Elephas maximus indicus: one gene and its partner. The protein of the gene in region 1 binds, or shares a complex with, the protein of each later gene. Links are inferred from orthologs where the notes say so. Each region holds a gene or a part of one and is shown on either strand. Other genes may lie near its edges.

Evidence for each region. Proteins that work in one complex are often made in the same cells at the same time.
Region 2: SNRPD1 (region 1) and SNIP1 share a complex: the UniProt entries of both Homo sapiens proteins name them as parts of the minor spliceosome. The link is inferred for Elephas maximus indicus from reciprocal best matches to the Homo sapiens genes SNRPD1 and SNIP1.

The regions. Positions count from the first base shown.
Region 1 is NC_064829.1:27,455,893-27,463,705, forward strand, and holds the start of SNRPD1 (small nuclear ribonucleoprotein Sm D1), read left to right. Parts: upstream 1-4,758; 5' UTR 4,759-4,902; coding exon 4,903-4,916; intron 4,917-7,813. UniProt on the Homo sapiens protein: Plays a role in pre-mRNA splicing as a core component of the spliceosomal U1, U2, U4 and U5 small nuclear ribonucleoproteins (snRNPs), the building blocks of the spliceosome.
Region 2 is NC_064821.1:79,129,353-79,136,659, forward strand, and holds the start of SNIP1 (smad nuclear-interacting protein 1), read right to left. Parts: upstream 3,050-7,307; 5' UTR 3,001-3,049; coding exon 2,780-3,000; intron 1,008-2,779; coding exon 905-1,007; intron 1-904. Other genes in the region: DNALI1 (axonemal dynein light intermediate polypeptide 1), read left to right, coding at 4,145-4,225, 4,939-5,084. UniProt on the Homo sapiens protein: Required for pre-mRNA splicing as component of the spliceosome. As a component of the minor spliceosome, involved in the splicing of U12-type introns in pre-mRNAs. Down-regulates NF-kappa-B signaling by competing with RELA for CREBBP/EP300 binding.

The DNA.
Region 1 (7,813 bases):
AATCCACTAGCTGCTCCCTGGAAACCGTGTGGGACAGCTCTGTTCTGTCCTATAGTCTCATTATGAGTCTGAATGGCCCAAGGGCAATGGGTTAGAGTGTCAGAAAAGTGATATGATTTCTTTTAGTTGTGTAAGCCACTTTATCTTTGTTGTTGCTACTGTGGAATTGATTCCAACTCATAGAGACTTCATGTGTGCAAAGTAGAACTGCTCCACAGAATTTTCAAGCTGTGACCTTTCAGACCCTGGGTGGTACAAATGGTTAAGTGTTCAACTAGTAATCAAAAGTTTGACAGTGTGAGGCCACCTGGAGGCATCTCAGAAGTAAGTCCTGACAATCTGCTTCTGGAATGTCACAGCCTTGAAATTCTGTGGTGCAGTTCTACTTTGCACACATGAGGTCGCTATGAGTCAGAATGGACTTGATGGCAATGGATTTGGTAGGATTTTTTGTTTGTTTGACCCTTTGGGAGCAGATCGCCAGGCCTGTCTTCACCAACGTTTCGGCTAGTAGTCAAGCTCTTATTTTGTGCCACACAGGGACTAATTAGTTACTTCTAGTAACTTTACTAACTCGAATTCTGGCATTAAAAAAAAAAAAATTCTGGCATACACACATAAAATTATAGTACAAGCTTCCATTCCCACAAAACAGGCCTCTGCTTCTAAGTGATCTATTTCACTGTATTTGTTGTATTGGTCACAATTAGGAGTATAATTTTACAAATGTCAGACCACATGAAAGTAGATGTACTGATTTTTGGTACAGAAGTAAATCATATTTAATGTATAATTCATTTCTAATTTATTCTAGATTTTCTTTTCAAAAATTATTTCTTAAACATGCTATGAAAGTATAAAGTCATTCACTTTTATGGGAAAATAAGCTTTCTTAGACATTATTCTTTATCATTTTGAAGTATATTTTCACTTCTGATTCATTAGCTCTCAATTTGTAGTTTGATTAACTCAATTATTCTGAAATATCATATTGGCAAAATTTGTTTTGCCTTCTATCAGTGGTTCTCTTTTAAAACAATCTATGAGCTTTGGAATTTGGTGCATTTAATTTAGTTGTGCACTACAAAATAATCATGATCAGCCAAATAAATTTCTCCCCTGACTGAGTTTTCAGTTTTTTCTAAGAAATAGTAAAGAATTTGGGTTTTTGCAAATGATGATCAATGAGAAGCCTAGCATTGAACTGAACTGATGGAGGAATGTAGGTCACAATTGAAATATAGAAATACAAGTTTTGGGTTCAGAAGGGGCCTGGGACTAGCAAGAGATAGTTTCTCAGACAACTATAAGAAAATATTCAACTTAAAGGAAGAAGTGTTTGGTAATCCAAAGAAAATGTTAGCTGGGTCTCTCTTAGTTCAAAAATAACTGAAAACCACCTCGAACTAATATAGAGGAAAAAAAGAAATTTATTGCTACTGTAAGTACAAACTGCAGGGGAACCGCTGACCTCAGGACATCCTGAAACCTGAGGTTCAGGTGATGTCAACAGGACAATGTCTCTCCAACTCTCAGCTCTTCTTTCATCTGTACTGGCTTCATTCTCAACCAAGCTCTCCCAACAACATGGCAAAGACTATGTTGAGCTCACAGCAAACTGATTCCAGTAAAGAGAGAGGTCCTTATGCCTGTGAGCTCCAGAGAAAGTCCTAGGGGAGAGCTGTGATTGGTTCAGCTTTTGCCATGTGCCCATGCTAGAAACAAACACTGTGCTTAGATATACAGAACTTAGATGGTTATCTAAATGGTGAAGGGTTTTTTTTCACAACATGTACACCAAGATTTGCAAGCTTCTGCCCTAAGCTCTGTTCCTAAATTCAAAACAGTAAACGTACTTTCTTGGACTTGTTTGGAGCCCTGGCGGTGCAGTGGTTAAGAGCTTGGCTGCTAACCAAAAGGCAAGCAGTGCTCCTTGGAAACCCTATGAGGCAGTTCTACTCTGTCCTATAGGGTCGCTGAGTCAGAATCAGCTCGAAGGCAACAGGTCTTATGCATGTGATTTTTGTTGTTGTTTTTTCAGGCGGGGGGCTTGTTTAAATTGTCCATTTTCCTTGCTGGCTCAGAATTGCCGATTGTACTTTTCTGGACTCGCTTATCGTTAATTAGGGCATCTACTTCTAAAAACTGGTAATGCAATAGTTGTCTTGCCCCACATACCACATTCTCATTTCCTTGTTTCTTGTGACTAATCTAAATGCCTGTAACATATGTAAAACCTCTGCTAATTTCCAGAAGACAGGGCAGTCTCATTTTCAAACTGACCATCCTGCTAGCAGCAAATAAAGGCTTTATCTTTGTTGCTCCACTTTTGTGAATTTTATTTCAGTACTCTTTTGACAGTTTTGTACTTATAAGAGTAAAAATTCTAACATTTCAAGCTAGAAAACAAAAACAAAAAGTATAGCAATTTACAGGAAACTTATGGGGCAATGGGTTTATGTTAATGAAGAAGAACAATTCAGAAAATGAGGGCAAAAATGGTTGTGCAACTTGAAGAATGTAATCAGTGTCACTGAATTGTACACGTAGAAATTGTTGAATTGGTGTGTGCACAGATGTGTATGTTCTCAACAACAAAAAATAAAATAAATTAAAAAATTATAGCAATTTGGTATAAACCAACTGACAATGCCATTTCAATTTGCCCTCCTCTGGAAGCCCCACCACTATTAGATACAAGAAATAATTCCCCACTTACTTGACAGGAGATGAGTAGGTATTAGCCAGATCAAAAAAAATGCATGTACAAAATCTGGAGAGGAAAATGAGCTTGATGAGTTCCAATAACTCAAATATTCTAATGCTATTGAGAGGAAATGGATTAAGAGGTAGTCAAAGCCCAAATTAGGAAGCGCTTGAGGACAATACCAGTAAGTACCCAGGGAGAAAGGTGTAGCAGTCTGCTACCATAAAGATTTCAGCCTTGGAAATTCCATGGGGAAGTTCTACTCTGTCCTGCAGGGTCGCTATGAGTCAGAATCACCTCGACAACAACTGGTTTGGTTTGGTTTGGCTCAGCACTAGGGATGCTGCAATCAACAACACACACAAGGTCTCTTCTTGGAGGAGCATACATTCTAATGGAAAAGACAAGCCATTATTTCACAAATATTGATTGAGGGCACATTATGTGCAAGGCACTATTCTAAGTGCTAAGGATGCTACAGTGAACAGAACAAATACAAATGCCCTTTCACAGTTGACACTCTTGTGTCAGACAGTAAATAAGTTATCAAATAAATGCTAAGAAGGAAACAAATATGGTAATAAATAGAGCAGCAGTGTCCAACAAAACTTTCTGCAATGAAAGAAATGCTCCATATCTTTTTTGTCCAAAAGAGTAGCCACAGCCACATATAGCTATTGAACACTTGAAATGTGGCTATTGCAACTGAAGAGCTGAATTTTTAATCTAACTTCATTTTAATTTAAATTCCACACTCAGGCACAGCTTGATCCAGCAGCTCATTACTATCACCATGGGTTTTTGTCTGTTTATTAACTCTCCGTCCTGAGACTCTTTATTCTCATAGTACTAAGGCAAGTCCCAACACAACAACCGAACGAAAACTTTCATTTTAAAATTTTCCCCAATGAGTCCTATGAACATTAAAGTTTGATGAATATTGTTGCGTCATAACATCCTAGAATTCTGGTGATCAGGGATTAAGTTCATGCTGGAGATACAAATTAAAGCCATGGTTTGGAGGAGATTACCTACCTACAGGAGAAAGTATTCATACAAAGATTACCGTTTAGGGTACGTTGAGAAAGGAGTGTTTCAAAAGGAAGTGCTTATGTTGAACACTGATGAGATGCTGAGTACCACAAAGATAGAAAAGTTTGTCTTGGAGGTTTCTGATCCCCTTTGAAAAGCAACGTCAGTGAAGTAGTTTGCAAAGTGACCTAGAAGTGATGAAACAAGTAGAGATAGCTCATTCAAGAAGTTTTCCTGTTAAAAAATGGGGCAGTAGCTAGGGCTGAAGCAGAGAGAACTTGGCTTTGTTTTTAAGGTAAATTTGAATGCTGATGGGAAAAAAATCAGTAAAATAGGAGAAAGAGTAGAGTTAGAGAGAAATAACTGAAGGAACGAAATTCTTGAGAAATTGAGAGATGGGATCCAAACTACTAAGAAAAGGAGTTTGTCTTTGAAAGGAGCGACATTACTTTTAGCCTTGTAAAAGGAGAGAAGGCAAAAGGATGGCATCTGTTTTCTGAACGTGTGAAATATTAGTAGAAAGATTTGGTAGTGAGACTGTAGAAAGTTTGAGGGGGACAGAAGGTATGAAAGAGTTGGTGAGCTTACTAGAAAAGAGTAACAGTCTTTCTGGGCAATGTAAGGTGCCCATCTGAGGTTTATGATCAGAACTTAAATGCAAATAATAAGTTAAATTGGGAGATTTTCTTCAGGTAGGTTAGGCAATGGTGAGGTAGGTTCTGGGTGCTCTGTCGATCTAGAGTTAGAATAATCTTTTGGGCTTCTCTTAGAACTTCCCTTTATTCGGGGGGATATTCGGAGGGGTGTAATGCACGGTGCCTTGCCGCGAGAAAACGTGATGGCGACAGGCCTCCGAACTGGATTTGATCTCCCCAAATTTTCCTCTTGCTGGAAATTTCCTCCCAGACCAGCCCTAGCCGCCCTCAGCAGTCGCAAGGCACACCTCCAGGCACCAGGGGGTGCAGTCGTGCTCCTCACGGCCGGAAGAGAGCCGGATCAGCTCAACCTCTACGTTTCCGCCGTGCGTTCGCAGGGCTCCGCGCGCTCTTTACGTCCGGAGCCCCGGGAGTAGGAGTTTCCGGCCATTCATACCCCCGTTCGGTCGGGACTCTGTTCTCTGGTCTTGTGCGCTATCGGGCCGAAAGAGTGACGGCGCCGCTAGGATGAAGCTCGTGAGGTGAGAAGGCTACGAAGCGGCGTGCGGGTTGTGAAGGGAGGGTTTGGGCCGGAGTTGGGAGACTGGCTTCCCCAGCTGCAGGAGGCGCGAAAGCCGCGTGCGCGCGCGCGGCCTGGTAACGGCCTCCGGCGCCAGCCGCTCCCGTCCGGGTCTTGGCCGCGCGGGCGGTGCTGCGGGCCGGGCTTCAGACTGGGTCGCGAGGGATCGATCTGCTCTTCCAAAAGGTGGACGCAAAGGCGGGGACGTTTCTTCCCACTTAATGTCTTAAAGTCTTTCACGGTGCTTTCCCGGGTTTACGAGCTCTTTCGCCTAGTTACCGATACCGATTTTCTTTTCGAGGGGGAACTCGTGCTCTAGTCTAGGTTACTTTTCTGGCCCGTCTCAACTCCTGAGAACAGGCTACTATGAGTAGGTCCATGTGCCCTAAGGAGGCGGGAGCCATCGAGAAAAATTGTATGCCTTCCGTGAGAAGTTCTTTAAATGAATGCGTTTTTCGTGATCAAATTGTTATCGTCGGTTTAAATGAGTACTTAGAAGCAGCATGGCTTTATCTGGAAATATTGAAGTGTACTTCTAAAATATTTTAAATATATATATGTGTAGCTTTTTTGATATAGCTTAAGATATTGTTCAACCTACATTTTCTATAAGGTAGACTTTTAGGAAAATCTCCCAATATTCGTATTTGTGGCTAATTACACAGATAATAAGTTTTACTTCCATTTTTTCTCTTCTTTGACTTTATACTTTGTCCGTTAGCTGTGCCTACTGAAGACTTGTTTACCGGTTTGAGTACTTCATTCCATACTACCTGTAAATACATATGGTTTGGCTATTTTTCCTTTTAACTGATCTCGAAACAAAGGGGTAGAGGCTTCTACTAAGTGAGCGGTTATATTTAGTTAGTTTTTTTGTTGTTGTTCTGTTGAGTCAAGGATTGTTAATGTCAACGAAATTCTTACTATTGTTCACCTGTTATTCTGTGCGCTGGTAATAGAACCATTAAAAAAAAAAAAAAAACATCTCCACCTTGTTGGAGTGGTAAAGACAGACAAGTAGATACTTTCTGCTATGCATGAAATAATATAAAATTCTCAGTGTTTCTGTAGATCGCATGCATGGTTAATTTGTAGTCCATATTTATATGGAATGTAGCTTTGGAGAAAAACGGCTCAAATTTAAAGAATATTTTTGCAATTTCTGAATACCTTCCAGTCTATATCTATTTACAGTTAGGTTTTATGTAATATTCTTTGGATTCAGTTTGTCCTGTTTAAAGGCATTTCGTGTTGCGACAGAATTTTCTTGTAATTTTTAATGGCTGTAGTGAAACCAGAAGGTCAGTGGTTCAAACCCACCAGCCGCTCTGTTGGAGAAAGATGTGGCAGTCTGTTTCTGTACAGATTTATAGCCTTAGAAACCCTGTGGGGCAGTTTTACGGTGTCCTATAGGGTCACTATGAATCAAAATCAACTCAACAGTAGCGGATGATGTTAATGTACTGAAACCCATTCTGTGACTTCGGTAGAATATAGAAACAAAATTTCTTGCTGGAAAATGTGTTTTGCCTGGAGGAAATGATGTTTCACTGACTAGCTTGTGTTTTCATTTGGCTTTAATCCTGTGCCTAAGTCGGTGACACTATCGTTCATATCCTTACAGTCACTCTAACCAAAAACCTGGGAGTCTTGTCCCTGACTTCTTCCTCTCCCTGATAATCCTTACGTTTGAGAAATCACTAGATTTTGCCAATTATTCTTCACAGAAGTATCTCTACTGTCCAATTCTGTTTGGTTTTTGAGTTCAGATAGTGTGAGTTTGGATACTGAAGGAAACCATGTTATCTGGATCTCCTTGATTCTAAATTATGAATAGTAAGTAGAAAGATTTCAGGTAGTGAAATTTTCATCAGAAAATAATTTGAATTTATTTGACTCCTGGGCTCTGATAGAAAGGAATAACTCTCTATTTGCCCTCTCCACAATACCTTCTCTTTCATTCCAATCACCACAACTGAAGTGCAGGCTCTTTTTTTCTCCCCATAGACTCTCTTTTTTTTCCTCCTTCTGAGGTATATATTTCATACAATGACAGGAAAGAAAGAAAAGACCAAGATGGATGTCAGAGAACCCTCTGAAACTTACGAACATTGAGCAGCTAAAGTAAAAGGAAGAATTGATGAAGCAAAAGAACTGAACAGAAGATTTCAAAGCGTGACTCGAGAAGACAAAGTATTATAATGACATGTGCGAAGAGCTGGAGATAGAAAACCAAAAGGGAAGAACACGCTTGGTGTTTCTCAAGCTGAAAGAACTGAGGTAAAAATTCAAACCTCGAGTTGCAATAGTGAAGGATTCTATGGGAAGAATATTAAACGACGCAGGAGGCATCAAAAGAAGATGGAAGGAATATACAGAGTTATACCAAAAAGAATTAGTCGACGTTCAACCATTTCAAGAGGCAGCGTATGATCAGGAACTGATGGTACTGAAGGAAGAAGTCCAGGCTGCTCTGAAGGCATTGGCGAAAAACAAGGCTCCAGGAATTGACGGAATATCAGTTGAGATGTTTCAAGAAATGGATGCAGTGCTGGAGGTGCTCGCTCGTCTATGCCAAGAAACATGGAAGACAGCTTCCTGGCCAGCTAACTGGAAGAGATCCATATTTATGCCTATTCCCAAGAAAGGTGACCTAACTGAATGTGGAAATTACATAACAATATCATCAGTATCACATGCAAGCAATATTTTACAGAAGATCATTCAAAAACGGTGCAACACTATGTCGACAGGGAACTGCCAGACATTCAGAAGAGGACGTGGAACCAGGGATATTATTGCTGATGTCAGATGGATCCTGGCTGAAAGCAGAGATACCAGAAGGATGTTTACCTGTGT
Region 2 (7,307 bases), on another chromosome or scaffold:
AGTGACAACACCAAATGCTGGCAAGGATGCAGTGAAACAGGATTACTCATATGCTGTTAAATGGTACAGCCATTCTAGAAACATCTGGCGGCTTCTTAAAAAATTAAACATACAAGTACCATATGACCCAGCAATTACACTCCTGTATCCGAATGTGGGTATAGTAACTTTATTCATAATAATCAAACACTGGTTAAACTGTGATAAATCCAAAACAGAATACTGCTTAGCAATAAAAAGGAATGAACCACTGACAGACGTTAACACCTGGAATCTCCAGGGAATTTTGCTGAATTAAAAAAGCCAATGCCACAATATCATATACTGTATGATTCCATTTATATACCATTCTTGAAATGACAAAATTATAGAAATGAAGAACAAATTAGAGGTGGCAAAGTGGTTAAGAGGTACGTCTGCTAACCAAAAGGTCAGCAGTTCGAATCCACCAGGTGCTCCTTGGAAACCCTATGGGGCAGTTCTACTGTCCTACAGGGTTGCTATGAGTTGGAATCGACTGTCCAGCAATGGGTTTGGTTTTCTCAGGGGCAAGGAGGGAGGGGAAGTACATGTGGCTACAAAAGGTAACACAAGGATTTTTGTGGTGATAGAAATGTTCTCTATCTTGGCTTTATCAATATTTTGGCTATAATGTACTATACTTCTGCAGGATGTTACACTGGGAGGAAACAGGGTAAAGAGTACACCTCTCTGTATTATTTCTTACAAATACATGTGGATCTACGGTTATCTCAAAATAAAAAGATTAAAAAAAAAAGAAGATTCTCCTTTCCCCCAGTTTTTAGAAAAGCTCTTTGCAGCTGCAGGTGAACATACACTTTAACTATGATGAGAAAAGGCTAAAGATTTGGACCTAGTACCAAAACACCCCGATCCAACTTACCTGCTTCACTTTGACTGTTGAGTGGTGAGGACTTCGGTTTCTCTTACCCCGTGGAGACTTGCTTCTTCTCCCTGAGGACTTGCTTTTCTTTTTGGCTGGGGACCTTTTCAGAGCATGGTACACTCAGGATTTTATCTCAACATCCCTTCCCCCATATAAATTAGCTTCAAGTATCGGACTTGCCTACCAACAGAAACACCACACCTGTGACAGAAACTAGGCATCAGAGGCTTTACCTTCCTAGGAATAACACCTCCCTTGAGTTCCAGACCAACATACGTAATGGCCTACCGAGCTTTATCAATTATGTAACAAAACTCTTTAACTCCCAACCCCCCAACCTTCCTCTCCCAGTCTTTGTCATCTTCGTAACTAGTAGTATCCAGCCTCTTCCACAAACCAAAAACCTAAAAGTCACCCTTCATTCTTTATTCCCTCACCACTAACACCTCCCCTCACCACCACTATACACACGCAATTACATTCAATCCATCAGCAAGTCCTGTGGCTCTATCTCCTCTCTCCCTCGCCACATTCCTACCACCCTCTCTATTGATCACTACACTCCATCATCACTGGCCTTTTTTCCATGTCTAAAACAATCATTGCACGTATTGTTTCTTCTGCCTGGATCATTCTCATCATTCAGGTCTGGGCTCAAATGGCATCTCTTCAGAGAAGCCTTCTCCCACTTTTCCCCAAACTCTCACTATCATATTACTGTACTGTTTTAACCTATCCCTAATACTTATTACTAACTAAAACTATTTTATTTATTTGCTTGTTATCGTCTGTTCCTCAGTTAGAAGACATCAATTCCATCAGGATAAAGACCATTCTTCCTGTTCACCCTTGTGGTCCCAATAGCTAGAACAGTCTTTGGCACATGAACAACAACCTGTTGCTGGAGAGTCGATTCTGACTAGTGGCAACCCTACAGGACAGAGCACAACCGCCCCACAGAATTTTCAAGGCTGTAATCTTTACGGAAGCAGGCTGCCACATCTTTCTCCCACGGAGCAGCTGGTGAGTTCAAACTGCTGGCCTTTCTGTTAGCAGCCCACCTCTTAACCACCGTCCCACCAGGGCTCCTTCTTTGGCACAGGTTGTTGTTAGGTGTCACTGAGTTGGTTCTGACTCACAGCGACCCTATGTACAAAAGAACAAAACACTACCATCCTCACAATTATTTCTATGCTTGAGCCCCTCATCGAGGGTCTTCCTTTTTTTCTGCGGACCCTCTACTTTACCAAGCATAATGTCCTTCTCCAGGGACTGGTTCCTCCTGATAACATACCCGAAGTATGTGAGACAAATTTCTCGCCATCCTCGCTTCCAAGGAGCACTCTGGCAGTACTTTTTCCAAGACAGACAGCAGTCCAAGACAGTTTTGGTTTGAGGAAGAGGGCGGATAGTGCCAATTACGAAGATGACACACAGTAAGTGCTAAACAAGGTTGAACGAATGAGTAAATGAGTCTACCAAAAGGCAGTATTTTTTCAGTTTCTATCAGTTAGACTTCCTAGATCCTCCTTGGGGAAACCTTTTGGAAAGAGAACGCCCATACCTGGCTTGGCAACCAGACGGGAAAAATCTTTCATTTTAATTGAACAAACAACGCTATCTACTAGGCCATGCTCTGCTAGGTGTTGGGAACAGAGATGAAGGGGCGGAGCTCTGTCCACTACGTGCTTAACGCTCAGCTATTATGCCATCGGAGGTGCAGGAGTAAACCTTTAACGCAGTCACTCCCATCGCTTCCAGGGTTAAGTTCAAGTTGCTGAGTCCAGCACCCAAGGTCTGTTTCTGACACTAGCCCGTATTTCTATCTCAATGAACAGACCTAAGGTCAACCTCAAGCTGCTCCCCACTTACCGGCTGCCTCCGCGGGCTCGGTTACCGCGGTGACTAGGGCGGCTGGGCTCGCCGGCCGGCGAGGACTGGCTGTGGCCAGAGTCAGGGCGGCGGTGGGCGGGAGGGACGGTTTCCGGGCTGAGGCGCTCCTGCTTCACCACCACCGTCGCCGCCGCCACCATGTCCCCGTCTCGGTGCCTTCGCCTGCTTCCCCGTTCCCGCTCGCTTTTCACCTCCTTCATCCCGCGATCCTGGCTGAGGAAAAGAACAAGTCCGTTGAGCTCCGCTCACTGAAGGAAATGACGTACTTGACCCGTTGACTTCCGTTTCCGGGTTACGTGCTCTCCCAGAAACCCTCGCGGCGGAGGCCCTGAGCACGTGACAGCCGCTCTCTAGGGGGCGGAACCGTAGCGACTGGCTCAGACGGCGGGAGTTTTAAGTTTCAAAAACAAATAGCTGGAAAAAGCTACACTCTTAAGGCTGTTGCCACGTTATTAGTAATTAAAAACACAGATACAACCTAAATGTCCAGCAGTATGGAATTGTTTAGCCAACTGATGGCATGTTATGTCGCCATTAGCAGTGTTATTTACAAACTGTATGGCAAATGGAGCCCTGGTGGTGCAGTGGTTAAGAACTCGGCTACTAACCAAAAGGGAGACGTTGGAATCCACCAGCGGCAATTTGGAAACCCTATGGTGCAGTTCTAGTCTGTCCTATGAGTCTAGCCTAGTCGCCATGAGAGGAATGACTCCACGGCAACTTTTTTTTTTTAATATGGCAACTGGGAAAAAAAAACAGTCTTGTTTAAACGAAAAAAAGCAGGATACAAAATTGTGCGTGAACTGATTACATTTACGTTTAGAAACGTGAAGAAAAAAAAGGAAATGTAGTCGTAGTTGACCGTGAGCAAATCACTATTTTTCCTTTATTTCCGGAATTTTCTGCAATACTGTCATTTCTCAGTTTAATTTAAAAAAACTAGATAAAAAACTAGGAATCTTCACAGGCTTTCCTTTGGGAATCATCCTCAACCCTTCAATGAGGAGTCAGGAATGACTTCCATTTTGCAGGTGACAAAACTGAGGCTCAGCGAAGGTGACATGCCCATTCAAATCGCGAGCAAGGAGCGGCGCAGGGACTCGAACCCACACTTTTCCTGCTTCCAAGAGACCCGGAGCGACCTGCTGAACAGAAGACCCAAAAAGCCAAGCGCTAAGAGAGCCTTTCTTGAACGCTGCGCGGGGAAGAAAACTGGCGCTCCGCTGGCCCCGCCCCCCGAAGCCCCGCCCAGAACATGCAGCTGGCCGAGGAGGTTTCCATGGTGACGGGAAACAAGGCCCAGACAAGAGGGCCAATTCTGGGCTACTACCCCCCGCGGCCGCCATGATTCCCCCCGCAGACTCGCTGCTCAAATACGACACCCCGGTGTTGGTGAGCCGGAACACAGAGAAACGGAGCCCCAAAGTAAGGACGGGTCTCGGGGCGGGGCAGGGGGGGGTGGGCGGGGAAGAGAATGGAAGGGGAAGCTCCGATGGGGAAGGACAGGTCCCTGCTTTGAGGGTTGAGAAACCGGAGGGACAGGGGATTGGGATGGGGGGGGAGGAAGGGAGAGGGCACAAGAAGCCCAGATGTTAGGGGTGACCCTAAAGGGCAGATTTAGGGTGAGGAAGGAAGTCACAAGGACGTGGATGGAGCTCACTCTTTCATGGTAGCTGGGTCCAAGCAGAGATGAAGTAGTGATTTCCCCATCACTGGAGGTATGAAGGAAATTCTGGTGGTGCAGTGGTTAAGTGCAATGGCTGCTAACCAAAAGGTCGGCAGTTTGAATCCACTAGGCGCTCCTTGGAAACTCTACGGGGCAATTCTCTGTCCTGTAAGGTCGCTATGAGTTGGAATCTACTCCACAGCAACAGGTTTGGTTTTGGTTTTAGAGGTATGAAAACAGGACTGAGCACCATTGCCAGAAACGTTGTTCAGGAGAACACAAGCATTTGGTTGGGGTGGGACCAGAAGCTTTTCATGGCCTCCTTCAGCTCTGAGACATGACTTCTGCTAAGACAAGGTGAAAGTGAGCTGGGAGTAGGGAAGCAATGAGCAGGAGACACAATCCAGGGGGCTGGTACATGTGGATCTGAGTGCCTAACTCACTGGCGCCCTAACCTGCTACTTCTTCTCAGGCTCGGCCACTAAAAGTCAGCCCCCAGCAGCCTGGACCTTCGGGTCCAGTCCCACAGCCACCAAAGACCAAGGTTCCTTCAACTTCCTGTGTCCCAGACCCTACAAAGCAGGCAGAAGAAATCTTGAATGCCATCCTGCCCCCAAGGTAAAAAAAAAAAGTGGGAGCAGGGGCTGGAGAAGACCTAGGTTTTTGGATCCCAGAACTTGGGAATGTGCAGAGATGCACCATACCTCTGTTCCTGGGTAGGGGTCCCCCCTACCAACCCACCAGCATTCCAGAGCTCCTCCAGCTTGCAGGTGACTGGGTCCTGGGAGGGTGAAGGGAGACCTCTTCTCTGTCTACCCTCACTCTGAGTGTTCTCACTCAGTCTTATGGTTTTAAATACCATCTATATGGTGATGAATGGTGGTGCAGTGGTTAAGCGCTCGGCCGCTAACCTAAAGATTGGCAGTTTGAACCCACCAGCCACTCTTCGGAAGATATGGCAATCTGCTTCTGTAACGATTTACAGCCTCTGTCCTGTAGGGTCCCTGTGAGTCGACCTACTTGACAGCAGTGGGCTTTTGGTTTGGTTATATGCTGATGAGGAGTCCTTGGGTGGTCCAAGGGGTTAATGGCCTTGGCTGCTAACCAAAAGGTTGGAGGTTGAGTCTACCCAGAGGCACTGCAGAAGAAAGGCCTGACGATCTACTTCTGAAAGACCAGCTATTGAAAACCCTGTGGAGCACAGCTGTACTCTGATACATAGGGGGTCGCCTTGGGTCAGGTTAACTCAACAGCAACTGGTGGAGGCAGTGGATGTGCTGGTAAGGCCTTGGTGGTTCAGTGGTGGAATTCTCACCTCCCACGTGGGAGACCTGGGTTCGGTTCCCAGCCAGTGCACCTCGTGTGCAACCACCACCCATCTGTCAGTGGTGTCTTGTGTGTGGCTATGATGCTGAACAGGTTTCAGTGAAGCTTCCAGACCATGATGGACTAGGAAGAAAGATCTGATGATCTACTTCCGGAAAGCAGCCAGCGAAACCCCGTGGATCACAACGGTCCAGTCTGCAGCTGATCATGCGGATGGTATAGGACCAGGCAGCGTTTAGTTCTGCTGTGCACGGAGTTGCCATGAGTTGGGGGGTGACTCCACGGCAGCCTACGACAACAGCAATATGCCGAGAACTCCCACATGTGTATTTCCAGCCCTGTTTTCCCCTTAAACTTCAGACCCACATATTCTGCTACTTCCTCATTATCTTCACGAAGATGTCCAATAGACATCTCAAACTCAACACGTTTGAATTAAGTCGCAATTTCTCCCTCCCTCTACTTGCTCATCCCCAGTTTTCTCCTTCTCAGTGAACTGTAACTCCTTTACTACCCGCTCAGGCCACCTTTCATTCCTCTTCTTCTCTCACACTGCATGTCTGGTCCTTCATCAAATTCTCTGGCTCCACCTTCAAATTATATCCCAAATCCAACCACTTTCACTACCTCTGCCTCCACCATTTTGTTCCAAGTCACTGTTTCTCACCTGTGGTAGCACATTGGCCTCCTAACTGGAAACCTTGCTTCCACTCTCTGCCCTTACAGTCTGTTCTCCATCCTTAAATCATAAGTCAGATCAGGCCAGTCTTCTGTCAGAAGCCCCCTAATGTCACTTAGACTAAAATCCAAAGTCCTTACCATGGCCTTGCCACGGCTTGAAAGACCTGGCATGATCTGGCCCATGATACATCAACCTTATCTTATTGTTCACTGTGCTCAAGCCACATGGCCTCCACTTGCTGTTTCTTTGTGTCTTTTTTTGGTGGCAATATAACAATCAAACATATATCCATTCAGTTTCTACATGTATAGTTCAATGATATTGGTTACATATTTCACATTGTATCACAGTTCTCACTGTCTCTACCCATATTATTTTATCACCGTTAATTTAGACTCCCTGCCTCTTCCAAGTTCTCATCTGTACTTTACATCAACATATCAACTTGAACACTTGCAGATACTTCTTTATAAGAGGACAGTGCTCAAGGCAATCATTCTTTATTAACTGAGCTGAGCGGTTGTTTAGTTTAATGATGGCTTCATGGGGTAGTTTTAGTTCAAGGTTTAAAGATTACTTCCAGGCAATAGATTTAGGGCAGTCTCAACGGATTCAGTAAATCTGGTTTCCATATGAATTAAAAGTTCTCTTCCATGCTTGTCTTCCTTTTGATTAGGATCCACTTATTGGATCCTTGATCAAAATGTTCAGTGATGGTAGCTGGGCACCACCCATTTTTTCTGGTCTCATGGGAAAGAGGTAGTAGTAGTTCACGGAGGCAACTGGACCTGTAGTCCAATTACTTCACTGATTTCTGGATCTCCTTCTTCCCC